Danio rerio: one gene and its partners. The main gene of each other region encodes a partner of the protein of the gene in region 3 in a complex. Links are inferred from orthologs where the notes say so. Each region holds a gene or a part of one and is shown on either strand. Other genes may lie near its edges. The genes, in order: snrpf, lsm8, sart1, prpf6, snrpd3l, lsm6 and lsm3.

What was found.
Region 1: sart1 (region 3) and snrpf share a complex: the UniProt entries of both Homo sapiens proteins name them as parts of the U4/U6-U5 tri-snRNP complex. The link is inferred for Danio rerio from reciprocal best matches to the Homo sapiens genes SART1 and SNRPF.
Region 2: sart1 (region 3) and lsm8 share a complex: the UniProt entries of both Homo sapiens proteins name them as parts of the U4/U6-U5 tri-snRNP complex. The link is inferred for Danio rerio from reciprocal best matches to the Homo sapiens genes SART1 and LSM8.
Region 4: sart1 (region 3) and prpf6 share a complex: the UniProt entries of both Homo sapiens proteins name them as parts of the U4/U6-U5 tri-snRNP complex. The link is inferred for Danio rerio from reciprocal best matches to the Homo sapiens genes SART1 and PRPF6.
Region 5: sart1 (region 3) and snrpd3l share a complex: the UniProt entries of both Homo sapiens proteins name them as parts of the U4/U6-U5 tri-snRNP complex. The link is inferred for Danio rerio from reciprocal best matches to the Homo sapiens genes SART1 and SNRPD3.
Region 6: sart1 (region 3) and lsm6 share a complex: the UniProt entries of both Homo sapiens proteins name them as parts of the U4/U6-U5 tri-snRNP complex. The link is inferred for Danio rerio from reciprocal best matches to the Homo sapiens genes SART1 and LSM6.
Region 7: sart1 (region 3) and lsm3 share a complex: the UniProt entries of both Homo sapiens proteins name them as parts of the U4/U6-U5 tri-snRNP complex. The link is inferred for Danio rerio from reciprocal best matches to the Homo sapiens genes SART1 and LSM3.

Annotation. Positions count from the first base shown.
Region 1 is NC_133182.1:19,364,115-19,368,129, forward strand, and holds the start of snrpf (small nuclear ribonucleoprotein F), read left to right. Parts: upstream 1-1,215; 5' UTR 1,216-1,402; coding exon 1,403-1,405; intron 1,406-2,266; coding exon 2,267-2,392; intron 2,393-4,015. UniProt on the Homo sapiens protein: Plays a role in pre-mRNA splicing as a core component of the spliceosomal U1, U2, U4 and U5 small nuclear ribonucleoproteins (snRNPs), the building blocks of the spliceosome.
Region 2 is NC_133179.1:10,099,675-10,103,762, reverse strand, and holds lsm8 (LSM8 homolog, U6 small nuclear RNA associated), read right to left. Parts: upstream 2,801-4,088; 5' UTR 2,641-2,800; coding exon 2,610-2,640; intron 1,120-2,609; coding exon 1,079-1,119; intron 747-1,078; coding exon 619-746; intron 504-618; coding exon 413-503; 3' UTR 238-412; downstream 1-237. UniProt on the Homo sapiens protein: Plays a role in pre-mRNA splicing as component of the U4/U6-U5 tri-snRNP complex that is involved in spliceosome assembly, and as component of the precatalytic spliceosome (spliceosome B complex).
Region 3 is NC_133196.1:30,364,959-30,367,784, reverse strand, and holds the end of sart1 (U4/U6.U5 tri-snRNP-associated protein 1), read right to left. Parts: intron 945-2,826; coding exon 823-944; intron 739-822; coding exon 720-738; 3' UTR 501-719; downstream 1-500. UniProt on the Homo sapiens protein: Plays a role in mRNA splicing as a component of the U4/U6-U5 tri-snRNP, one of the building blocks of the spliceosome. May also bind to DNA.
Region 4 is NC_133198.1:7,083,188-7,086,687, forward strand, and holds part of prpf6 (pre-mRNA-processing factor 6), read right to left. Parts: intron 1,244-3,500; coding exon 1,081-1,243; intron 993-1,080; coding exon 874-992; intron 794-873; coding exon 715-793; intron 1-714. UniProt on the Homo sapiens protein: Involved in pre-mRNA splicing as component of the U4/U6-U5 tri-snRNP complex, one of the building blocks of the spliceosome.
Region 5 is NC_133196.1:14,700,351-14,704,325, reverse strand, and holds the start of snrpd3l (small nuclear ribonucleoprotein D3 polypeptide, like), read right to left. Parts: upstream 2,801-3,975; 5' UTR 2,684-2,800; intron 835-2,683; 5' UTR 827-834; coding exon 701-826; intron 595-700; coding exon 402-594; intron 1-401. UniProt on the Homo sapiens protein: Plays a role in pre-mRNA splicing as a core component of the spliceosomal U1, U2, U4 and U5 small nuclear ribonucleoproteins (snRNPs), the building blocks of the spliceosome.
Region 6 is NC_133176.1:39,344,495-39,348,754, reverse strand, and holds the start of lsm6 (U6 snRNA-associated Sm-like protein LSm6), read right to left. Parts: upstream 2,801-4,260; 5' UTR 2,707-2,800; exon of another isoform or gene 2,484-2,706; coding exon of another isoform or gene 2,459-2,483; intron 2,359-2,458; coding exon of another isoform or gene 2,354-2,358; coding exon 2,260-2,353; intron 1-2,259. UniProt on the Homo sapiens protein: Plays a role in pre-mRNA splicing as component of the U4/U6-U5 tri-snRNP complex that is involved in spliceosome assembly, and as component of the precatalytic spliceosome (spliceosome B complex).
Region 7 is NC_133197.1:33,572,435-33,576,432, forward strand, and holds the start of lsm3 (U6 snRNA-associated Sm-like protein LSm3), read right to left. Parts: upstream 2,801-3,998; 5' UTR 2,738-2,800; coding exon 2,717-2,737; intron 2,524-2,716; coding exon 2,413-2,523; intron 1-2,412. UniProt on the Homo sapiens protein: Plays a role in pre-mRNA splicing as component of the U4/U6-U5 tri-snRNP complex that is involved in spliceosome assembly, and as component of the precatalytic spliceosome (spliceosome B complex).

The DNA of each region.
Region 1 (4,015 bases), on a different chromosome or scaffold from region 3:
ATCTTAATTTATACCGTAAGCAGTTAAGTTTTTAAATTCCTCCTCCCTCAGTAGCAGTTGATGGCCAGTAGTCTAGATATTTATTTAGAGTAGGGGTACCATGTTTTTCATGATTTATTTATATAAATGGCAAATTTGAAATGTTAGTTGTCTCTGTGAGTGTATACTGCAAATGAAATTACCCTACAGGGACAAATAAATTAACCAACTAGCTAGCTAACTAACTAACCTAACTATATACACCCTCTCTGGGGAAGAAAATATTGTCCATCACTATCCACCACTGTACATGACATTTCAAACATGACCTCTTTTGAATAGATGGTAATGAAATGCAAAAACCTACTGGGCAAGTCTTCGGTTAAATGATTGATGTGGGATATTTGCATTTTTTTTTATTTATATAATTGAGGGTCAATAGTTTTGCAAAGCTAAATTACTGTACAAATCAAAGAGAAATTAGATGTGTTGTGCTTTCAAATACAAATCTAAAAGACTGTAAATGATTGCAAGTTTCCGTTCTCGTTGAATGAAATGATAAAATGATCCACTGCTGCTGTTTTGGGAGTTGTTAAAAATGGTACAAAATAAATATATAAAATAATTTATACATATTAATTTTTTTAAAGGGATAGTGATGAAATGAAATTATGTTCTCATTTACTTACCCTTCACTTGTTTATTTCTTCTGCTGAACACCAAAGAAGATGTTTGGAAACTGGTAACCATTTCTATAATATGATGAAAAACAAATACAATAGAAGCCAATAGTTACCGGTGTCCAACATTTTCGAAACAACAATACCAGTTTTAACATACTTCCAAATATCTTATTTTTGTTTTCAAATGAAAAAAAAGAATCTCATTAAGGTTAGAAACCCCTCAAGGGTGACTATATAGACAATTTTGAGGAATCTAAACAAAAGACAATGGTCCTTACGTATTTCCTGTTTTACATTTTAAATTTCTATAGCTTCCGAGAATCTAAAAAGAGCCACATATTGATAAATAATGTTATAAGAACTGTTTTAACATTAAGTTATGGTTGAATTGCCTCTTGATACAGCTGTGAAACAGTTTTATAACAAGCAGGAAATGTTTATGGGCCAACGACATCATCAAACGGAAATAGTTTATAGTAAGTACATTTTTATTTTTGGATAAACTATTTCTTTAATTTCAGACCTCCACTCCAGCTCAACTGAGGATTCACGGCTCTATTCCCCGCCTGTCCAGCGAGTGGCGCAGCGGGCAGATCCGCTCTTCTCTCCTGCCGTGCGGTCAAAGTGCGCTCGTAGTCCTTCCCTCTTTCGGCGGCAAGGCGTGCGAGTGTGCTGCATTAGCTTATACTATTCAAATAAACAATTTTTGTGTCTGAAAATACTACTTAAGTAATCCAGTCATGGTAAGTTCATCGTTATCTCTTTTATTTGTATCCAAACCTTCAGTTTGGCGAAAGAGCGTAGACGTTTTCATTCATAAATACGCTGATAATGCGGCTAGGTGTTAGCATCAGGAACGCAGACTGGACGTTGTTTTCAGTCATTTTCAGTGTTGTGTTAGAAATGTTGAGCTTTGCTGATAAATGTTCCTCCTTGTTCTCTTACAACCTAGTCGGTGACTCCCAAAATGCGATTAAATGATATATGTGTGGGAAAACTAAAGATAAAAACTAACGTTAAAGGAGTTTTTTCTGCTATTACTGATGCTTATTTGCAGCTAATTCTGGTGGAAACCAAAAACAATTAATGCTGTAAATTATTATATTGTTTTATTGAAGTTATACAATATATATATATATATATATATATATATATATATATTGTGTGTATGCATGCGTGTTTTGATTTTTTATACCACAAACTACAGTAATGAGAATTTGTCATTACAATTTAAAATGAAGTCATATCAATTGTATCTGTTTTTGTTTTGTTTTTATTATTTGTTTATTTTGCTTGTGTAAATTCATGCGGCTAGTGTCAAAACTTTTTACTAAAAGTTATAACAAGCTGATGAAGAAAAAAAACTAAAACCCAAAATGTAAATCTTTTTTTTTTTCTATTTGGTCAAATATGACTGAGCATCACCGGAGGCTATGCTAAAGTTTCTTCTAAGCTTTTCACTCACTTGAGAATAAAATCATCAACATTTGTAGTATTTTACTTCTTCAGGAACAATATTATGTTGACATGGAATTGTTTGAAAATGACACTTAGGGATTGATTTCGAATGATGTTAATTGTGTAACACTGATCTTTTCCCTCAGAGTTTGCCGCTGAACCCAAAGCCCTTTCTGAATGGTCTGACAGGAAAGCCTGTGATGGTGAAGCTGAAGTGGGGCATGGAGTACAAGGGCTACCTGGTGTCAGTGGATGGGTACATGAACATGCAGGTATGTTTAAAAGAGTTAACGATTCTATGAAAATCCAGCTCCTTAGTAGGAAGAAAATTTAAACTATTCTTTTTAACTCGAGACATACCGTTGTATATGCCATTATGGAGATGCTAGACACACACAGACATCTGCTTAAAGCAGAAGGTGGCCAAAAATGTAAATATTGTAATGGCAACCTAGCTGTCAAGCATATACACTTCATATGAAAACCTCAATATTTAGCAATTCTGAGTGTGCCTTACACAAGTGAGTGGGCTTTATAAACACTCCTTGACACACTTGCACTAGTTTTGTCTATTTGTACCAGACCCTCTCTTTCAACCACTTCATAGCTCTATAAAACATTGTGCATTTCTGAGATTGGTTCACACAGGTGAGTGGGCTTGACAAACCACCTGTAGAAATGCTAATCTCTCTAAATGCAAGTTTTTCTAGATCTCTTACAAGGACTTAATAAAAAAAAAAAAACAATGTTTACCTGTGACTGTACCACAAATTGTTTAACTGGTCATTTCCTTCAACCTTAAATGATCTCTTTTGCACAATATTGTTCTGTCTTATATAAAAGTACTTGTATAGTCTGTCTAAGGTTATGCGTAAAGTTTTTTTTTTTTTTTACTATTTATAGACCGTTTCAATGTGGTGATGCCATTGGCCCATGAATATTTCCTGCTTGTTGTCAATTCATATCTGTAACAAGAGGCGATTCATTCATAACTTATATAACAGCTATTATAACAGCTATTGTAACTATCAATATGTGGGACTTTTTGGACTCTCAGAAGCTACTGAAAATACAGTAGGACCATTGTTATTGTTTACATCCCTCAAAAAGGTCTTTAGTACATGTATAGTTAATTACTGCTCTGCTATGTAGTTATGTATAGGTTTAAAATCGCTCTTATGTCTATAAGGGTTGTTTATATTTATGATAGTTTATTTATGTTGCACTGTGGTCCTGCAAGACATTTCACTGTGTGTCCACAGATGTAGCGGAATGACAATAAAACTCAACTCGAGTTGATACTTTTGCAATGCCCTGTTTAAAATGTTTTAGATAACCATTTTTATCTGGAGAGTTCTTAAAGCAGGGATGTCAAACTTTGTTCCTGGAGGGCCGCAGTCTTGCATAGTTTAGTTGCAACCCTGCTTCCCCACACTACAGTTTGAGCATGTGAAATTCTGCCGTTTGGTGCTGCAAAAAGGGGCGGGATTAAACAAGCTGATTACGATTTGACCATATTTAAAATTTCTGTACAGAGAGGTCGTGTTTTGATCTTCTATTGGTCAGAGTTCACCAAGCTTTAAGTTTCCAACACATCGAACTGCGAAACTTGTGGCACGAGCTTGCGTTTCCTGTCTAAGGCATTTACTTGCTAATAAATGGAAGTCTATAGGGGTGCAGTGTGCCTGCCGCTTTACCTGTAGGTTTCAAACGACTGTAGGACTCAATTAGTTTGATCAGGTGTGGTTAATTAGGGTTGGAATTAAACTGTCCAGAGCTTTTGGTCCTCCAGGAATTGAGTTTGACACCTGTGCCTTAAAGCAACTATTTAAAAAAAAAAAAAAAAAAAGTGAATCTTTCGAAGATGGTAGAATTAAACTATTTTAAGTTTTTAT
Region 2 (4,088 bases), on a different chromosome or scaffold from region 3:
AAATCGTCATGAATGCAATAAAACAAAATGGGCTTTAAATGCTTTTCAATTTCTTCATGTAATACGGAAATTTCTTTTGACTTTTGGGTGATAAAATAGGCATTTTGGAGATGGACCTAATCTTACTTTTACTGTTAATTTATTACTTTTTTTGTTTTTGACTGAGAATTATCCAGAAAATGGATACTTACCAATATTTTCCCCTTTATACAAGTTTTTAAAAAATTTAAAATCTTGATTTATCACTTTTTGTTTTATTATTTCAACACCCGTAAAAAACAAAACAAACAAAAAACAAATATGCATTCAGTCTTTTTCAAGATTAAAAAAGCAGGTAATATTGCTGCTTATAGATGCCTGCAGATTTCCTAGGGAAAGTTTTCAACTGGATCAAAATGAAATTTTCTGTCCATCAATGCACCACAGAATTGAGTGGTTCTGCTCTTATGTTTCCAAGATCCAGCGCAGAATCGGTTTCTTCATCAATCTCACCGATCACAGCCCTTAAACACAAAATAATTTCCCATTTATGTCAACCAAATAAAAGAAAAAAATCATAAACCTTGCACTGTTCTGCACAACATAAACATAATTACAAGAAAGGAGTTTAATACTCACACATTATCTCCTCTGACAATATACAGTCCCAGAACCACCTGCTCGACCCCCTGTGAAGAGCTGAAGACCCGCTCGTGGCTTTCATCCAGGATGAGGTTGATTGCCTGATCAAAGCCTTTTAGCGTCCCCTAAAAACAGCACAAGTCAGTAAGCGATCTTCTTCATTTCTGCACACAGACAATGATTAATTGGTAAGTTCACCAAAAAACACAGATTTTAATATTAATTTATTCACACTCAGGCTATTCACAATCTAGGGGACTTTTCTCCTCAGTTAAACATAAAAGACATTTAAACAAAACAAAAATACAAATGAAAAATATGTGTCGGAGCTGTGAGTTACAAGTGATAATGTTTAGATTTTCCTAATACAGTCAAACACTCCCAAAGTGTCTTTGACTTGCACTTTATTAAACACAAAGGTGGATAACTCCCTTTAAAGTACACGAGGAAGACTCACCACGATCATTCTGCCATCCGAAGTGACAATAGCAACAGTCCCTTGAAAAAAATCACAGTCAAGGAAATTTCAAGCTCATTTTATGTATGCATGGTCACTCACTGCGTTTATTTGTTCTCTGGATTTGTGTTTATATAGTACACATAATGTGTGTTCAAAATCTCTATTAAGTATTTTATTCATTGACTGATTCATATTCTCTATCTATCTATCTATCTATCTATCTATCTATCTATCTATCTATCTATCTATCTATCTATCTATCTATCTATCTATCTATCTATCTACATGAATACAAATGGTCATGGTCAAGAAATTAAAACTTTTCTAGATTGTTTTACATATATAGATTATATTTATATACAGATTAACATGAATACGAACAATCAAATATACTTATTTTTTACGAAATATTTAAGAAATGAAAATGTTTCTAGATTGTTTTACATTTCTAAATTATATTTATTTATAGATTAACATGAATAAAAACAGTCAAATATGCTTACTTTTAACCAAAAATTAAGAAAAGTTTTCTAGATTGTTTTACATATATGTATTTTATCTATAGATTAACAAATTCAAACAGTCAAATAAACTTATTTTTACCGCAATTTTAAGAAATTAAAACGTTTCTAGGTTGTTTTACATAGATTATATTTATATATAGATTAACATAAATACAAAGGGTCATATATAATTACTTTTAACTAAAATTGAACAAATGAAAACTTTTTTTAGATTGTTGGATTGCATCTATATGTAGACTAACATAAATGCAAATGGTCAAATATACTTAATTTTATGCAAAATTTAAGAAATAAAAACTTTTCTACATTGTTTTACATATATGGATTACATCTATAAATAGATTAACATAAATAAAAATAATCAAATATACTTATTTTTACGAAATATTTCAGAAATTAAAACCTTTGTAGATTGTTTTGCATTTATAAATTAGATTATATGTATTTATAGATTAACATGAATGCAAACGGTCAAATATACTTATATCCAAAATGTAAATTTTTTTTTTTACTTTTCTAGATTGTTTTACATACATAAATTATATCTATATAGATTAACATGAATACAAACAGTCAAATATACTTATTTCTACCCGATATGCAAGATGTGAACACATTAATATGTAATATTTACAGTAAATAGTAATATTCCAGTTATATGATATGTCTTAATTAAATATTTGAAGACTCGTTTTCATTGGTCCAGAAAAAAAAACTCAAATATTTGACAAAAAACAGGCATCTATGAAGTTAATATCACATCCAGATAACCGATAATCATCTTGAACTGATCTATTTTGCTCAAGAAATGTATGTGCGTACATTAATATGCTATAACGTGAATTATAACGACGTATGATCATCAAAAGCTAATTCACTTGCTGGCGCGCCATATATATAAAGTTAGACATTTCACGCTCAAACACACACAATCAACAACAAAACACGGGGTATCGATCAACAACATCACCGCCGTGCTGTTCACGATGCGTATTAAAGGATACGGTGAATGTAACTCTCGAGAGCGGTGGACATCTTTTCTGCTGGTGCGTGTTTTTAAATCCTCCGGTGCTCGTTCGCTAGCTCCTACAACGAAAAGCATTCGTTCTTGAGCCGGAAGCGATAACGGAGAGACTCGAGTAGGCGATGACCGATTGAGCACAACTTCAGGCAGAACTAATGGAGTTGGAGCAACGAAAGCTGTCATGAGTGAATTAGTATTTATTTAATAAGCTTTAAATAACTAGTACGCGACAATAGAACACACATTTTAATGCCAGGGATGATAGAAGATAAATATAGTAAGAGTACAAATAATTAAACATTAATTAAGAAGCAAAACAAACACACGTACATAAAAATAAGCGTATAAATAATTAAATAGATTTCTTACAATTACACACGTTTACATCAATCAAAACTGTTAAAAATAGACCACAAATGGACAGTGCTAATGAAGTTAATTTTATAGTTTAAACAAATTAATGTGAAGTTTAGCCGTCGTGAGGGAGTGATGCGGTATTTGTCCAGCAGATGACGCGCTCTGGAGATTTCTGGTTTCTAAGGAAGAGAGCACAATACTGTTTCTAACGAGTAACTTTAGAGATTATAATCAGTTCTTGCTGAAAAGGCTAACTGTTTGAGGGTCAAAGTGGGGGTCGATGGAAACACTGGTGGTAATGATGACGACGGCACTTACACAAAAGTACAATCAATGGTTGTGGGATGATTTCAGACGCTAATTGTAATTGTACATCGCCATTATGGGAATTAATGCTGATTGAACTATATAAAAGTGCTGTAGTGGTTAAAAATAGTTGTTATACGGTGTTTTGCTACACACTAGCATGGAAAAAATAATTAAAACTTGTTAATATTCGTAAGGTACTGAATGTTTAATAAATTTGATGGAATTGTATGGTGGTTCTGGAATTACGTTGCTATTACATCAGAATCAGGGACTGACCTAACCAATGATGTAATGTAATGTGTATTTATATTATAGATCTTACACCAAAAGCGGTTCACAATCATGAGGGGGGTCTCTCCACACCACCACCAGTGTGCAGCATCACTTGATGATGCGACGGCAGCCACAGGACCACAGTGCCAGTGCGGACACCACACACCAGGTATTGGTGGAGAGACAGTGATAGAGCCAATTCGGTGGATGGGGATGATTGGGAGGCCAGGCCATGATGGGTAAGGGCCAATGGAGGGAATATGGCCAGGACACTAGGGTTACACCCCTACTCTTTACGAGAAGTGCCATGGGATTTTTATTGACCACAGAGAATCAAGACCTGGGTTTAACTTCTCATCTGAAAGATGAAGCAAGCAACCGCTTAGGACCCCAAGAAATTTGGGGGCCCTCAATAATTGCCCACACTGTAAAACGTTTCACATTGGTTAAACTTACAAACTCAAGTTCAGCAGCTGCCTTGAAAATGTGAGGCAACAACTTAGAGAGATTCTTTGTTTCA
Region 3 (2,826 bases):
TTTAAATTGGACAAGAAACAGAACTGATCTAAACTTGAGTGAAAAACATTGTAAGATATAATCATTCATTTTCCTACGGCTTAGTCCCTCATCCACCACAGCAGAATGAACCACCAAATATTCCAGCATATGATTTACACAGAGGATGCCCTTCCAGTTGCAACCCAGTACTGGAAAACACCCATACACTCACATTCACACTCATACACTAAAGCCAATTTAGTTTATTCATTTCACCTTTAATACATGTCTTTGGACTGTGAGGGGAAACCGGAGCACCTGGATTAAACCAACGCCAACTCGAATCAGCAACCTTTTTGCTGTGAGGCGACAGTGCTAACCAATGAGCCACTGTGCCACACCAGATATAATCAGTGTAAATAAAAAAAAAAAAAATATATATATATATATATATATATATATATATATATATATATATATATATATATATATATATATATATATATATATATATATATTCAGATGACATTAGCCCAGTCTTAAATCGCAACAGTTTTTATTGAGGGGAAAAAAACAAGACAGATAAGGTTCTACAGAGAACTGTCAATCAAAACAAAAAAGTTAAATCAAATAAGGGACTTAAATTCACATACAAGACAATGTCTGTATATACATCACCAGTTGCAACTGTGTTTAGGAGACAGCTAAAATGAGCGCATTTTGTGAGATTTTCTGTCCTTCTGTTCCAGAATAAAGATTTATTTTGTAATGGTATTTCTGTAAACAAAAAGAAGAAGATAAAACCAATTACTGAACAGAATACAGACAGAATGAAAAGGAAAGTGTAAATAAAATACGTACGCGTTCATGCTTTTCCCGCTGCCACTCAGCACAATGTAAGGAGTTTTCTGTGATTTCTGCTTTTCCTGCAGAAGTGCCACGGTTCCCAGAGGAGTATCACTGCTGCTCATCTTCTTCAGCAGCTGCACGGACAAGCAAAATGGACATTAGCTTTATAGTTTGACAACAATGATAGTATACAGAGCTCAGCCTTAAAGGGACAGTTCACCCTATACTGAAAAAAAAGAAAAATCAATCAATTTACTAACCCTTGTTTCAAACCTGTTTGAGTTTCTTTTTTCTGTTGAACACAAATGAATGTATTTTGAAAAAATTTTTATCGCTAACCATAAACTTCCATAGTATTTTTTTTCTACTATGGATGTCAGTGTTTACAGGTTTTCATCTTTCTTCAAAGCATCTTCTTTTGTGTTGAACATAAGAAATAAAATATCCTCTTTTTTTTTGGAAGATCTTAAAAGAGAGCGAATTGAGAGTACATTTGTATTTTTGGGTGAAGAATCTCTTTATTTATTCAGAAATCTCCATGTGCTTCTCATTCAGACTTTCTAGGAATAAAAATGATCTGTCCAAATAGGAAGTATGATTATTAAATATAATTAAGCAGAATTTATCCAGTGTTGTATATCAGCTGGTAATTACTTAAATCCGCATATTTGGGATATTTTCCCCTCTTAAATTGATATTAAATGAGTTTTTACACATTCTGATTAACTATTAAATGCATCATCTTTGAAATTGAAATAATGACACATGCATTTTGATTACAAAGAGAGATCTTTGGAAAAAAAATGGAGTTAATGGCTGACTTTCACCACAATGACAATATAATTTTCCATACTTTAACATTGACATAATTTTAGAGGTTATGAACCATTGAGAATAAGTTTAGCAAACTTTTTTTTTATTTATTTCTTGAAGAGGATAATGTAATATTTATGTTTGTATGTACATATGTGTGGAATTTATGCATTTGTGTGTGTGTGTGTGTGTGTGTGTGTGTGTGTGTGTGTGTGTGTGTGTGTGTGTGTCTGTGTAAATAAATATACAGTTGAAGTAAGAATTATTAGCCCCCCTTTGATTTTTTTTCTTTTATTAACATTTCCCAAATGATGTTTAACAGAACAAGGAAATTTTCACAGTATGTCTAATAATATTTGTTCTTCAGGAGAATTATTTGTTTTGTTTCGGCTGGAATAAAAGCAGTTATTAATTTTTTAAATACCCTTTTAAGGTCAATATTATTAGCCCCTTTAAGCTAGATTTTTTTAATAGTTTACAGAACAAACCATCGTTATACAATAACATGCCTAATTACCCTAACCTGCCTAGTTAACATTAATTAACCAAGTTAAGCCTTGAAATATCACTTTAAGCTGTATAGATGTGTCTTGAAAAATATCTGGTCAAATATTATTTACTGTCATCATGGCTAAGATAAAATAAATCAGCTATTAGAAATGAGTTATTGATGGATGGATAGACAGACAGACAAACAGACAGACAGACATGTATGTGTATATTTATATATTGTTTTTGTTTTTAATCAATATTATTATTTGTTTTGTTTCCACTTGTTATTTGTTCCTAATAAAAACTATTAAAAGTATTTTAAAAAAGCATAATTTTTGTATTGAATGAATAAATGCTATTGGGTTATCATAAAAGAAATCACCACCAATTCCATGTTTTCACTGAAGCAGCAGCATTTACAGTTTAACAAAGCCCATATGTAGCGTCAAAGTGTCAATTAATTTATATTCATATTTATAATACAACAATTTTATATAATACATTGTATTTAGCAATTATTATAAAATTTTAAACAATATATATTTTTAAAACAAACCACTCCTTTCCTAGCTAATGACGTTTTTAATTGGTATAATCGTCTGGTTGAGCAAAGTAAAATGATCTTACACTTAATCCTGCAAAGTGCAAACAATCCAGTTAGGGATGCTCATTTCAGTTAATTTTGCCAACCCATTCATGAACCAAATATTA
Region 4 (3,500 bases), on a different chromosome or scaffold from region 3:
GGAATTATTTTGGGAGTATCCAGCGGAGTATCATAACTAAAACCATAATATATTAAATAAAAAGTAATAAATTACTGAATAAAAACTGAATAAATTCTGATTTACACATTTACTCAAGTAAATAAACAGAATTAATAATGGGCTAAAAATCAGCAGAAATCTGCGGAATTCTGCTGAAAATCTGCGAAACATCTGCGGAATTCTGCGCGCGCAGATTCCGTGTGGGCCTAGTGATCGCTCAGTCAAGTCACATAACATGACGTACTTGGAAAATACTAACTTTAGAATATAATATTTAGAACAAAAGCTCATCATTACTAATACAATTTAATCAAATATAAAGACGTGATATAAATAAAGACGTGTTTAAATTGGTTCAATTAGTTAGAGACAAGTTACGTCAACCTCAACAATGGGAAGCAGGAGCATGACAGTACCGCGGTACTCTGTATCGTGGTTGCTGTATCGCAATATTTTGGTTCGGTTTGTAATATCGTTACACCCTTAATATTTACACTATGTTAATTGATAAATGCTGTAAAAGTTAGACAGATCATTCGTTCAAGTTTTGAAATAAATCATAACATTTAACTGATGGAAACCTGTTGCATAGTCTGATCCTTTTTTATTTGTCTTCACGCTAAACTTGGACTATTCTGAAGAATCTTAGGATTCTTCAACTTTTTTTTTGATATTTATAAAAGCCACACAAACCTTCAGGTCTGAGAACTGTTGCTGAATTTTAGGCCGCTCCATACGATACTTCTCAATCTCCTCTTTCTCTCGCAGCTCCCTGCAGACACATTAGTCAAATCAACCCAAACGCTCTACATAAACAGCAAGTGTAGACGACAGAAGAAAGGTCAAGCTCACCTTCTTTCTTTCCGTCTCTCATCCATTCTTTTATCCAGTGCAGCATAAATAGCGTCGGCCTCCTCGTCATCTTTCTCATACGGCCCGCTGGAGAACAGACTGCCCGCATAGCCGTTAAACTAGAGGATACAGGATATAGAGGCATAGATTAATAATATTCTGCTGCATTTTGGCACATCAACTCAATATGACGCCTGCGAAATGTACCTCATCATAATTGGTGTCGTTGAGATCCTCGTCATCATCATCCTGGCTTTTCTTCATTTGATCACCCACCGTCCTCTTCCCCGGAGGTGCGTGGCGATCATCAACTGGGTCATTGGCATCACGAGCAGGACCGATATCAGATCGTGTGGTGAAACCCGTGGCACTGCAGAGCACATTGAATTACAACTCAACAAAGAAATTCAGCATATGGTTTCCAATAGATTTTATTACATCGAAGACTGGAGCAAACTTCTTGCATTGCCATCTTGGTACAGGGTAGCGCTCCTTTGAAATGAATGCGGGACCAAGGTACAGTGGAGGTTCTGTGGCCATCCAAAGCCAGAGATATACACATATACACATATATCTATGATCGGGAGTTTTCCTGGATGTGAATATGTAATTTTTTTTTTTTCTAATTGCGAAAATTATAATTTTACATTATTTTTCTACATTGATGGATCAGTGACTGCATGGGCATTCCTGACAAAAAGCTTGTGTTTGTGTGTACAGAAATGTACTATTCACCCTCCCTGTTAAATTTAATCAAATCATGTCCTGAAACACACCTCCTCTCCTGCTTTCACTCCTCATACTGACGGAGGGAGCGATTCGTTTGTGAATGAATCCACCGAACGACTCTTTCACTAGCCGACATCAATACCAGTTTCTGGCAGCGCAGCATCTCGTTGTCATATTTCTTTTGCATTGTTTGTTATTCAACAAAAATAGCATAAGCCGAGTGTTTAGTGCGAGTTGGAGCTGCTTTGCCTTATGGTGAATGCAGTAAGTGACTATCATCCATAATGTTACCTGATTAGCACAAAAGTTCAGAACATACAAAAACAGAAAAAAAACTCAATATTACCTATGAAATGTTCTGCCTTTGTGCTTTGTTTTCTTTGTTTGGTCGTTACTACACCCATAGACAGCGCTAAAGTCCAGCATCTTCACATAATAACACTGTCTTGACTAGTGCGGTTGAATGACATTTGTTCTGGGAGCACTGTACCAATGTAGAGGCTCTATTGACGCATGCTCAGGGTCCCTATGCGATATCTAGTGTATACATCTATGACTGACAGCAAACTAACGGTTAGAGGGGCGTGACTAAACATTTCACACAAGCTGTCAAACTGACATCAGTGATAGATAGCCACTTGTAACATTCGCTTGCAGAACGTAATTTGGATAAGTGTGTGCGTTTGTTTGTATGTGGGTTTGTCGTTTCATGCATGTGTCGCAGGTACGAATGGCATTGGAGGATCCGCATTTCGTGCTGATGATGTTGCCTGCTGACGCTGGGTTTGCGCCACCAATCACTGGTTGGCGTAGCGTTTAAAAGCCGAGCCCAAACTGCAATGGCGATCTCTCTGTCTCTTTCCTTCTCGCCACTTCTCGCTCTTATTCTTTCTGTGGGTCTCTCTGAGGACAGTCTCTCTTGCGAGGGCTAGTCTGAGAGAATGTGTTTTGATTGTGTTTAATGCTCTTGTCTAAAGTTTGAGATTAATTTAATGTGTTTGCTTGTGAACTTGTCCTGTTAACTGACATGTTTGAGTGATACCTCGGAGAGGTGTAGGTGTGAGTAAGTCGTGCGATATACAAATACAACATTCAGATGCATATTTTGTATTAGTTCATTAGGTTCAGGAGAATGTGCTGTTTTCTGCATGTTTTGTTCTTAGTTAGAGCAGTTTAGTTAAGACGTTTGGTATGTTGAAGATGTTTTTTTTTTCATGCTTTTCTTTTTATATTTAGTTTAGTTTGGTGAAAACAGTTACTGAGTTTTGTTATATTTATTTCTTTGATTTAAGCGCATTCAAGTACTTCCTCTCCCCCCAGGTAATTCATCATTTAATCATTGTAAATATTTTTCTTTCATTGTATTATATATTTTCACTGGTTTCATTGGATGTATGGGCAATAAATAATTGCAGTGAGATTTGGTTTTCAGTTTATTTTTTTCTCCATCCGCTTGTCACACACATTAAACTATTGTATGTTATGTCATCTACTCCTAGTTTAATATAACATCTAAAAGAACGTAACACCCCTCCAGAGTGGAAAAAAGGTCAGATTTTTAAAAGAAGATGACCAAAACAAACACACTGATTTTTCCCCCCAAGTCTAACAATTTACAGCAGCAAAAAAAAAAAAGATTTTAAATTTTGATTTCACCTGGACTTTCAACGATATTCAATATATCAATAAGGGCTGAATGATATTGGAAAAATCTGTTGATAATATTCTATATATTTGAGAAATATCTTGTATTTCTGCAATATATTGTAATTTCTATATCTAATTTCACCAGATGATTTGAATAGCTCTATTTGGAAATACTTTATTAAAAAAAAAACGTGCAAATGATAAAACTTTTACTCCATTAAGGTTAAAGTACATAAACTCAACAAATCTCA
Region 5 (3,975 bases), about 16 Mb from region 3:
ATCATCAACACTGAAGATCTCAATTTAAAACACACATTACCTAAAACCAACAGTCAGTTTTCTGAAAATAAATAACTTGCACTTTTGAAAACAAAATAAATTATTTTCTGTGCTTTTCATATTAAAAGTATAAAACTAGCCATATCTCTTTTAAATAAAATAGCTCTTGTATATCCTGTAAATAATATTTTGAACAGCAATTGCATTTCTTGCATCTTTTGTAAACAAATATTTTAATGTAAACAATAGCTTAATGGAAAATATGCCGTCTCAAGGCATCTCTGGCGCAGCTTACAATCATTGCCAATGCAATGCAAAGTAAGGCTCAAAAATTACACAATATGACTGCAAACACTGTAATGAATTTAAAAAAAAAGGTAACTTTTTTTAAAATAACTAACCTTGAGCTTTGAGAATAGCAGCTTTTCCTCTACCGGCTCCTGCTCCTTGGTTTTTGTTTTTCATGCTCTTCAACATGGGGGCGTTTTTCAACATGTCAGGCAGAATGAGAAAGCGGATTTTGCTGCCACGGATGTAGACCTGCTCGAGCTGTGACACTCTGCCATCTCGATAGGTCACTGTAATGTTGGACATCTGATTCGCAGCACAACAGAAACGCAGTCAGTTGCATGACTCGAGACAACAGACATTAAAAGAATGCGATTTTAGTGGGATAAACTGTTCTTCAGTTCAGCAGTACCTGGCAGTTCATGTTATCCTCTGCTTCGATCAGTTTTCCCCTGTACACTTCACCTGTGTTTGTCTCACAGGTCACAATGTGACCCTCTGCTTCATGCAGGACTTTGATGGGTACGCCAATAGACATGTTTTGAACTGTGGGACAAAAAAAACAAAATTACCAAAAAAATATTATCTATACATCTATATATCTATCTATGTGTGTGTGTGTGTGTGTATATATATGTGTGTGTGTGTGTATGTGTGTGTGTGTGTGTGTGTGTGTGTGTGTATGTGTGTGTGTGTGTGTGTGTGTGTGTGTGTGTGTGGTGTATGTATGTATGTATGTGTATATATATATATATATATATATATATATATATATATATATATATATATATATATATATATATATATATATATAGACAACAGACACTGACCAATGGTTATAAAAGGGATAGTTCTTTCAAAGTGAAAATTTGCTGATAATTCAACCTCATCCCATCCACAATATTGACGACAACATGCACATCATTATGTCACCGGGAGACCTTAATGAAAAGGCTAAACATGTGCACAGGCTGGGGGTTTAAGGTAATACTGTACATAATGCTCAGTTTCTTCCACAGACTGATGCTGTAAATGCCCCCCAAACACAGTTGTTGTGTGTCCTATTTAATGCAAATGAGCTACTGCTTGTAAGAGGGTGGAGCATTTACAGCATGCGTCTCGTCTCGGGCACACAAACCCTTTCTTTGGGTTTATCCGATGACTGCTGCACTCATGTGACATTACAGTTCTTCATATTAAGGAGAGTTTGTTATTTGTTTGCATTTTTTACATTGTCAGGTCAAATTCCTGCTATACTATTTGTTGCCTGTGTACTAAACTTTTATTTAGCATCTTTACCCTCTTACTGCTCTAAATCTATCAAATAAAGTTTAGGATTTTTTCCATCTTACCAACCAAAACACACACGGAAATGCATTAAGATCAGTTCAGTGTATGTTTCTTTCAGATGAAACGGCTCAGACTTACATTTTAGTCAAACCTATTTTTGAGCAATGTTGCTCGGCAATATTGCAGAGTGATTCTGCTTAGCTACTTTCCTATTGATAATGGGTATCAAAATTGTATTTGGATCCTTCATTAGCTGTCCTGTGTCTTACTTGGTTTCTCAATGATAGCATCACTACAACATCTTCCAACAACCATGCTCAAAATTGTTCTGGTATCATCCCCTTAATGTCTTTGATATATATATATATATATATCAGTAAGCATGGGAGGAGCTCGTAACGTCACTGAATCTGAAGTAGACTGCTTCTGATTAATGAAGAATGTGTAAAAAGTGAGTGTATATTACCATTACAGCCTTTTTGCTTATACTGTCGAAATCAGAGTGTAGTTTTAACTCAAATATATAGTTATAACACATTTAACTTTAGCTTTTGACTGTATATGTTTTGTGAATATCAAAGGTTACCCTTTGACTTGGATTTTATTTATAAGAGCCAGGTTTAGTTTTATGAAACAAAAAATAACTCCCAAAGTCACCTCTTAAATAGAAAAAAATAATATGTCATATTTTTTGAGTAATTTAAAATAACCGACTCGTTAGAACGATTTATTATACCTTTTTTGCTTTTGATTCAATAAAATGAACCGACTCTTACGAATCATTCGTTTAAGAATCATGTTCTAAACATGTAACGTTAGCTGGAAAGAATCCACGCTAGAATATGAAACACCATAAAATCATTTGGCTACGGTACTTGTAAAAACTGACTTATAACGTTACTGAACTCAATAACAGGATGAAGCGATAGACATTAATGAATATCCAAGATTGATCTCTCAAACGAGTCGCGTGAATGCAAACAATGAATGACCGAAATATATGTTCCTCTACTAAATAATCGAAAAAGGACTGTATATTTTAGCACAGAACCACGCAAAATACCCCACGTAGTTATCAGGTTATAATCATAAAGCATTACAGTACCTTGAATCTGCAGATTCGTTGAAACACAGCAGCGGAACAACGTGAGCTTGTGCGACGTTTTCCCGCTCCCACAATGCACCTGAAAGCAAAAGCCCCGCCCTTTCCTGAAAACCAGTTGCATCCTGGGAGGTGAAGTCCGTATTAAAACTACGCAGCAAACATCTCAAGACTCGCACACAAGAGGGCAGCATCGAATTGTGCATTTTACTTAAAATAATTTAATTTAGTGTTTTAAATCTGAGTCAAATTAGTGTCACATTCATAATAAACAGTTAATCTAAGTAATTTGATTTAATTTTAAATATTCATATTGTAATTAGTTTGTTAAATCTATCTTTGAAATCCAATATATGAGAAGAACTGTAAATAAAATCGATAGAATGAACCTATTAAAACAGTTTTTTTTAAATATTGTATATTGTATTATATACAGCTATGATATAATATATAAGATGTTTATTTTACTTTTATTACAATTATTGAATTATTCACATTGTTAAAAACAATTGAATTTAATATAATGTCAATTTTATCTTTCAAATTAGTATAGCAATATTCATTCATTCATTCATTCATTCATTCATTCATTCATTCATTCACTTTCCTTCGGGTTAGTTCCTTTATTCATTAGGGGTCACCACAGCGGAATAAAACGCCAACTTATCGTACATATGTTTTACACAGGGGATGCCCTTTCAGCTGCAACCCAGTACTGGGAAACACCCAAACACACTCATCCACACTCAAACACTACGGCCAATTTAGTTTATTCAATTCACCTAGAGGAAACCCACACCAACACGTGGAGAACGTGCAAACTCCACACAGAAATGCCAACTGACCCAGCCAAAAATCATAATTTCATTATTTCATACATTAAAAATATATAAGTAATTACCATAATACACTGTAAAAAATTTGTTGCTGTTTTAAATTTTTAAGTTGAATCAATTTAATTTTAGTAATTTCAACTTACATCAATCAAACTGATTTAAAGGGGACTTTTTATGGCCCTTTTTACAAGATATAAAGTTTGTGAAATCTTTAAAAGTCTCTGATGTCGTTTTGGTTACTGTCGCTTTAAATTCAAATGATATTGTGTTCCCAGCCCTTTTTTAAAAAGGGGAGCCACAAATGCCTGTGTGTCAGCATAGTGGCAGATTCAAAAACAAGACTAATGTAATATGCTAATGAGGGACAGATTGTCACTACAAAGAGAGAATGTCAATCAAAGTTTTTCTGCAGACTAAAATTAATATATTTTTACCATTAGAAGGTGATTATATTTACAG
Region 6 (4,260 bases), on a different chromosome or scaffold from region 3:
TGCATGGAAATCAAAAAGTTTGATAACAAATATCCAAGTGTAAGAAAATGGTGGCAATACTAAAGGAAGGTTTCAGACTAAAAGCCTTAGATCAAGAGCAGGATACAGCAACTGAGGTAAAGTTGGTTTTATATTCGCACATTTATTTAACGACAACTTGCGACACGCTCCCTATATTGTTTCCCACGGTACTTTGAATATTTGATTTGAAATCATAAGTAAGTTTGACATGAAAACAACATAGTACTATCTATTTGACTGTGAACAATGTTGTACTTTTATAGTCATTTGCTGATATGATTTTACTATTTAGAATTTTCAAAGAATACTTTTCTAAAATTATATTATTAAGAAAAAAAGTGAGAATATGTGAATACAGGGCTCAACAATAAGGACTGCCCAATGGCCCGGGGCTAGTGTGCGAGATGCTAGGGACATTAAACAGGACCGTTACTGGCCTAATCAGGTCTTAAAATTAAGAAACTGTTATTTCAAGCCTTTAAATACTACCTTCTCAGTGAAGTTGTAAACACCATATTGCTTTTCGCTTCCTCTTATGTGATTGGATGATGTGAGCATGTTATTTTTTTCTAAAACTTGGTAAAAACCAGTACAGCAAAGAGGCGGCAACTTCAAATTATTAAGCTAAAAGAAAACGTCTGTTTCTAATGTCTTGGGTACAACATGACGAAAAAAATGTGATGTTCTGCACAGTTTGCCGCAAGTTTGGCAAGTCAGCCACATTTTGTTAAATAATTTTAAAGTGCAATAAAATACCTGCACATTTTCTATTATTTTTTTGTTTGTTTGTTTGTCTGCATTACACTATAAATTTTGCTTATTTTAGATTTATTAGCATTAAATGCTACATTCGCAGATGTTATTTTTGACAGAACATTTAAAATATGTGGCTAGGATATTTTTTATTACAGCTTTTCTCAGTCGCTTTTGTGCGTTTCTCACAAAACTAGTGCATTTCTGCACAACAGTTAATGCATTTCTCAAAACAATTAGTTTAAACTGCAAAACCTAGATGATAAACTGCAAAAATGCGTCACATGCTCAAAATGGATAGTTCATTCCTCAAAAGCAAGTATTGATGTTAATCAAAGTGCCAGTATCATCAAAATGAAAAGTCCTGACACCATTGTTTATGAACAAGATAGTCACATGGCTTTGTCCTGTTTTCATGATGACAGTTTACTCTGTACATTTTTTCAATGCAAAAAAAGTCAGATTTTGTTGACACTTCCTGAAAATGCTCAAGACAACACTGCATACTATTTGCACAGCCATTTGAAAACTACAGTAAAGTTAGACATCACTGCATTTAGTGAGGAATCGGAGTACAACAAACTGAATATGTATGTTTCACATTTTAACTGTATATACTCTTTGCAATTCTAATTTATTCACACCATTGTGCAAAAGAATACATACACCCTTATTTACAACAAACAAACTCCCTTTGGGTAGAGTTGTGCACAACTGTACACAATATTGCAAAACATATAGGAACTGAAACTAAAATACACACAAGTCTATAAATCAATCATGAAATTGTTCAATTTTTTAGACATTATCAGGAAAATAAAGATTTAATTTTTTTTATAAAATATTGCTTAACAGATTTTGACAACTAGTTCAACATTTTTGTATGTAATGACTCAAGTAATGAAATGAAAACTATTTGTTTTATATGGAATGACTACTCAGAATTCACAAGTTTAGTTGACATAAGCAGATGATAATGTTATAAATATCAGAGAGTTGTATGAAAGTAATTGATGCATGTCCAAAAGCATCTGCAATGTGTTGGAAGGAATGAGAAACTGCTAATAGGATGTGCACAAATGACTAATTATTTTGAGAAATGCATTAACTGTTGTGCAAATGTAAATAGTGCTGTGAGAAATGCACCAAAGCCACTGAGAAAAACTGTAACTTGTTATATTTGGTCAGACCAGTGAAAAGTTTCGGGCCAGTAAAAAAAAAATCTTTAGCGTTGAATCCTGGAATATAAAACTTACTTTACCTGACACAACTTTATCCATATTTAACTTGCATGTGGCAGTGAACTTGTAATAAATTACAATAAGGAAATTATGTTGTTTTCTTCAAGATTGACTTCCAAACCATCCTATTTTATTACCTCCAACACAACAAATATGATCAGTCCCTTCATGCATACCCTCGATAACTTGTAAATGATAAATGTAAAATACAAACATAAAAACAACCGCATATTTCAGTTTGTACCTCTGTAATCGACACCAGAGTTCAGTTTCACCACCACTGGCCTCCCAATGATCTGCTTCAGGAAATCACTTGGTGTCTGCTTTCGGAGACTCATTTTAGCTGAAAATGAATGACAATGAAGTTTATGAATAGCTCTTATAAAAATGAACCATGGCTGCATTGTTAACAAAAAGGATGTGACAATAACAACAAAACGTACTAAAGACGTTTATTTTAAACCACATAAGGGGTTTCCAGAAGAGGTTTAACCTTATTTGTTTGGAAATTGCCGGTGAACGTTATCGATAAGCGGCTAATTTAGCATGCTAGCATTCCAACCCAACGTATCACTTAATAAACGTGTCATCGTATATCTAGCAAGGTAACTACAGTGCTGCAGTTTTTTAAAACCCCACTAACGTCGAATGCATTCTTATATTAAAGCATACAACATTTAACGTTATTTACCTATGTCGTTTAGCAACGTTAACCGCACGTTTCGACTGAGCGACTGCTGACCAATGAGCTCGTCCGCTTATTCTAGTTCCATGGTGTGTACACCATTCAGCCAACCAGATGCTTCGTTAGAAAGCCAGTGTACGGAAGCCGACAAGATAGCGTTATCTCCTTTGACAAAGAATGCGTAGTGGAAAAAAGAGCCAGATCGACGGTGGCAGTAAAGACGGGGAATCGTCGCTTTTGCTACATTAGGACATAAAATCGTTAGACAAACAGAAGAATGACAGATGAGCTGATAAAAATGGACGAACAAACAGACGTATAGAAACCTAGACTGACAGACAGACAGACAGACAGACAGACAGACAGACAGACAGACAGACAGACAGACAGACAGACAGATAGATAGATAGATAGATAGATAGATAGATAGATAGATAGATAGATAGATAGATAGTCTGTCTGTTTGTCAAAGTATTTTGTGTACATTGTGTATAATAAGCAACTTCAGGTTGTAGTTGAGGTGTGGCTAAAACATGTAGGAAAAAAGAAGATCCTGTATAGCCAAAAGAGAGAGAGGGAGATGGGGAAGAAAAAGCTGTCTTTTGTTCACAGGCAGAGGAGGGGATGCACCTGAGAGACAGAATCATAAAGCACTTCTGGCGCATCCAGACAGTTTGCTTGTTAGCAGGGCATTGGTAGCCCTGAGGAGGCTAGAGGTTAATTTGGTATCTGGTGCTGTGTTAAACTAAGGTCAGCGCTACAAGTCCTTAAGTCATAAACAAGTGTGGTTAAGAGCCGTGTACACACCTAGGCACGAGTTAATGAATATTCAATGAGTATTTTTCCCCTTGTTGCCAGAGTTCACATCCTAAAGGAGGGTTAAGAGAGAAAAATGTGATCTAATGCATTTTCCTATCAAAGCAATCATTCATTTAAGGAAAAAAAGGAAAGAAATTGAACGAGTTTACAGATTTTTCGGTTGTGGCACACAGCACCGGGATTTTCAGTTGTAAACAAATATGGAATATCATGACAAGGAAGCTGACACAAGCACTATGATGCTTTCTTGACTACTGGAAAAGCGTGAATGGCTTGGCTTGTTAAGCGATACTGAATAAAACACAATAGAGCTCTACAGACACAGAAAGCATTTCACAAGCTTTTTATCTTTCAGTTTTGCCTGTTGCTTGGTAGAAGATGATTCTGTCCGTCTCACATAAAGAGGGCATTTTAACCTTAATGTGCTGTCCTTCAAAAAGTTTTCAACTTAACATTTTGTAGACTGATGTGAATGTGCATAAAATTTTGACTGGGAACAAATAAAAAAAGCATTTGCTTTTCCTCAGTCAGCACAGACAATCCACTCTCACCGCAAGCCTGTGAATAACCCCACAGCTCCTATGAAAACAGTAGCGTGTTGGTAATAACCGCCCAGTGATGCCAGATGGGACTGTTTTCACCCTGCCTTCAAGACGCTGGTGAGCTCAGATGGACAGTGGCACAGTTGATTTGCTGGTACAACCCGCCTCACCTTTCTAAGCCCCCAAAGACCTGAGAGGG
Region 7 (3,998 bases), on a different chromosome or scaffold from region 3:
AGAGCAGTGGTGGGCCAATAAGAAGAGCGCAAAGGCAGGGCAAGCATTACGGACTTGGATTTGTTTACTGCAACAAGTTGACATGATAACTGTTTTAAACCATTCCCGAGCGCTGCATTTTTGCAGACAAAGAGCAGACAAACTGGTTGCACACAACAATTTTAAGCTCTCGCAGAAATGCTCCCAAATATATTTTAAGGTCGCATAGATAAAATTTCGGGCGCATATGCGACCAAAATAGTCGCAATTTCGAGCCCTGTTAATGCAAATATGGTAAATAAAAGAAAATAAATATTTAAAGAAATGAATATTAAAATAATAAAAGTATATTTATGTCAACATTTATCCTTTTTGGTTGTGCTGTTTAATTCACACAAAGGAAGTTGTATTCAGTACATTTTTGGTCATCCATAAGTTTATTTACCTCTGTAAAATACAAAACATTTACATTTTTCTGATCCCTTATCTCTGTGATTTGTTATTAAAATCAAACAGATTTTTCAATATACTGTTCATATATACATACGTACTGTTAAAATAACACATTAGAACTGCTGTAGACTATTAGTTTAGACTTGTATTTTAGATCTAAATACAATTACAATATAAATATTATTTTAATCCTCTGTATGTTTCCTTTCTTTTACTAAACACTTTACATACTACACTAATGCGTGTAGTCAATTATTAGGATAAAACATTTGATTATTACATTTTAATAGATTTTATCAATTCACTTTTACATGTTTTTATCCTTTATTTTCTCCAAAAAATCCACAGACCAAATTCATGTGACTTTAATAACAGAACATAATACATTTAGAGACATAATTGAACTTGAGTCTGTATAAAATGTAGTATTTTCCCTCAAGGGCAGAATAACTAGAGCAGTGGTTCTCAAACGTTTTTCATCAAGTACCACCTCAGAAAAAAATTGTCTCTCCAAGTACCACCAAAATGAGCAGTATTGAGATACAATAGCCTTGTAGGCCCAGTAAAGCAGCTACAACTCTGCACAGTTAAAAAAACGTGGCAGATTACATGAGAAATATAGGCTATATGTCATATGACATTATATACATCATTTTTATCAATTTTGAAATGTGTGTAGCATGTACATGACATATTTTATTCCTCCACGTACCACTAGAAGGAAGCCTGCGTACCACTAGTGGTACACGTACCACAGTTTGAGAACCACTGAACTAGAGTATATAATATGTACAATGTGGTAGTTTCTCTCATGTGCAGTATAAATAGAGTATATAATAACTACAATGTAGTATTTTCCCTCACATGCAGTATAACTAGAGTATATAATATTTATATAAGTATTTTCCCTCATGTGCAGTTGTAGTTTAATTAGTATATATATATATATATATATATATATATATATATATATATATATATATATATATATATATATATATATAAATAGTATTCCCAGAGATGGGTTGCGGCTGGAAATGCATCTGCTGTCTAAAAACTTGCTGGATAAGTTGGCGGTTCATTCCGCTGTGGCGACCCCGGATTAATAAAGGGACTAAGCCGACTAGAAAATGAATGAATGAACATAAATATAATAATGATAAATATAATATGCCTAATGTTTGCCTCAGGTGCAGGATAACTAGAGTATAATCTGTTTAATTTAGTTTTTTCTCTCAAGCGCAGTCTAACTAGAGCAGGGGTGGCCAATCCTGTTCCTGGAGATCTACCTTTGCTTTGTTTGAAACAATATTTTTTGTCATTATTAGTGCAAACTTATATGAGCGATTATATCATTAAATGTGGAGGGGGGCCTAACAATATTTTCCAGGGAAAAAGGGGGTCTCAGGCAAAAAAAGGTTGGGAACCAGTGAACTAGAGTATATACTAAAGTAGTATTTCTCCCGCACATGCAGTCTAACTATAATATTTAATGTTTAATTTAGAATTTTCCCTCACGTGAAGGCTAACAATATATCTATAAAAGTACTTTACCTCAAGTGCAATTTAATAATGTTTAATGCAGCATTTTCCCTCACATGCAGATTAACTAGAGTCTATAATATGTTTAATGTAGTATTTTCCCTCACGTGCAGTATAACTGTATAATGTTTAATGTAGTATGTTCCCTCACGTGCAGTATAATTAGTGTAACTTATATATACACAATGTAACTTAGTATTTTCTTGCACGTGCAATGTAACTAACTTTATGTAACATTATATAATGGTTAATGTAGTATTTTGAATCAGGTTTAGTATAACGTTATATAATATGCTTAAGGTTGTATTTTTTCCAATAACGTACAGTAGAAACGTGTATTTAATGTAGTATTTTCCCCTCGTATGCAGTATATTATGTGGCATTTCCCTCACGTGCAGTATAACTAACTTAGAGTATGTAATGTAGTATTCCCCTCACATGCAGTCTGCCACGCAGTTCTCTGTCATTCCTCATCTTTACATAGATCCTCTCATCCAGACTGAGCCGAATCAGATCCAGAGGCTCTTCTACGGTGTTGGTGGTCTGTTGCTGTAAAGTAAATTTCAGTGATGTATTTTATTTGAATGAAAATGTCCATGCAAACAATCGTCGTAGTTACAAGCTGCTTTAGCATAGGCTACCCGTGTGTTCAACTAGTTAAAAATAAACACAATTAATACGATTAACCTCCGCGATAATCAAACAGCTAACGAAATATTTATACAAAGCAAAAATTGCAAACCTGCTCAGCGTCGTCCGCCATCTTTCAAATCTACCCAGAATGCATTTTCCGTTTCTCTCGCGAACAAATCATTAGACGGAAAATGCATCTGCTTCCTGTTAGACATAGATATATACGTTAGATGTCGCCTACCCTGTTGTTGTCTATTGGAAGGAATGCGTCAATAGATCCACCATGTTAGTACAGGGAACCGCTCCTTTGAAATGAATGCAAGCTGTGACCATCCAAAGCCAAAGATATACACATAGGCTATGATCGGGAGTTTTCCCGGATGTCACTGTGCAATTATTTATTTATTTATTTTTTTTAAATTACGAAAATTATAATTTTTCATCCCTTTTCTACATTGATGGATCAGTGATCGCACAGACATTCCTGAAAAAAGCTTGTGTTTGTGAGTATGGAAGTACTATTCCCCCTCCCTGTTAGATTTGAAACACATCTCCTCCTGCTTCCTTTAAATTCCGCATTTTCATATCTGGGAAAGCCCATCTCACATTTCCTGCAAAGGAAAATTAGACAATTTAGTTGTATAGTGAAAGTTGTGAGGCTGATCATCTGGATTGCATTGTTATCAAGAGTAGGCTATTTGGTGTTTATTTATATGCAATTTTGCATATGAAATTGCAACTTTATCAATTAGGCAATGTTGGGGTCACATCAGTCCAACCTTTAACAAAACAGTCACAACTGGACTTGATTTGGTTGCTTTATATGTGTAAAAAAAAAAAAGAAAAAAAAAACTTATGGTGTTTGAGGTCAAACTGACCACACTGAAAAAAAATGAGAAAAGTGGAAAAAAAATTAAGATTATTTTTTTTAAATGAATTTTAAACCCATTATAAATTTTAAAAAGTTTAACATTTCTGCAAAGGCCTGGGTCTAGAGCACAAATAAAAATTGGAAACAAAAACTTTCTGAATATTAAAATTTTCTAAATATTTTCTTTTGCATGTCACACAACATGACAGTAAATTATTATAATATTTCTTTAAGAAATAAATAACAAGTTTAGCTTGCTGCACTTGAAATTCAACTAAAAGCAAATGCTGAGAATGTGTGACAGTCAGTTAAATATATATATATATATATATATATATATATATATATATATATATATATATATATATATATATATATATATATATATATATATATTAAAAAATAGATGCAGTAACCTGTGCCTGTGTTGCTATTCAGTTATGTAGATCGACTGTGTAAGCTGAGAAAATATTTTATAGCCTACCATTCCTTCTAACGCTGAAGGACTACTGAGACATTC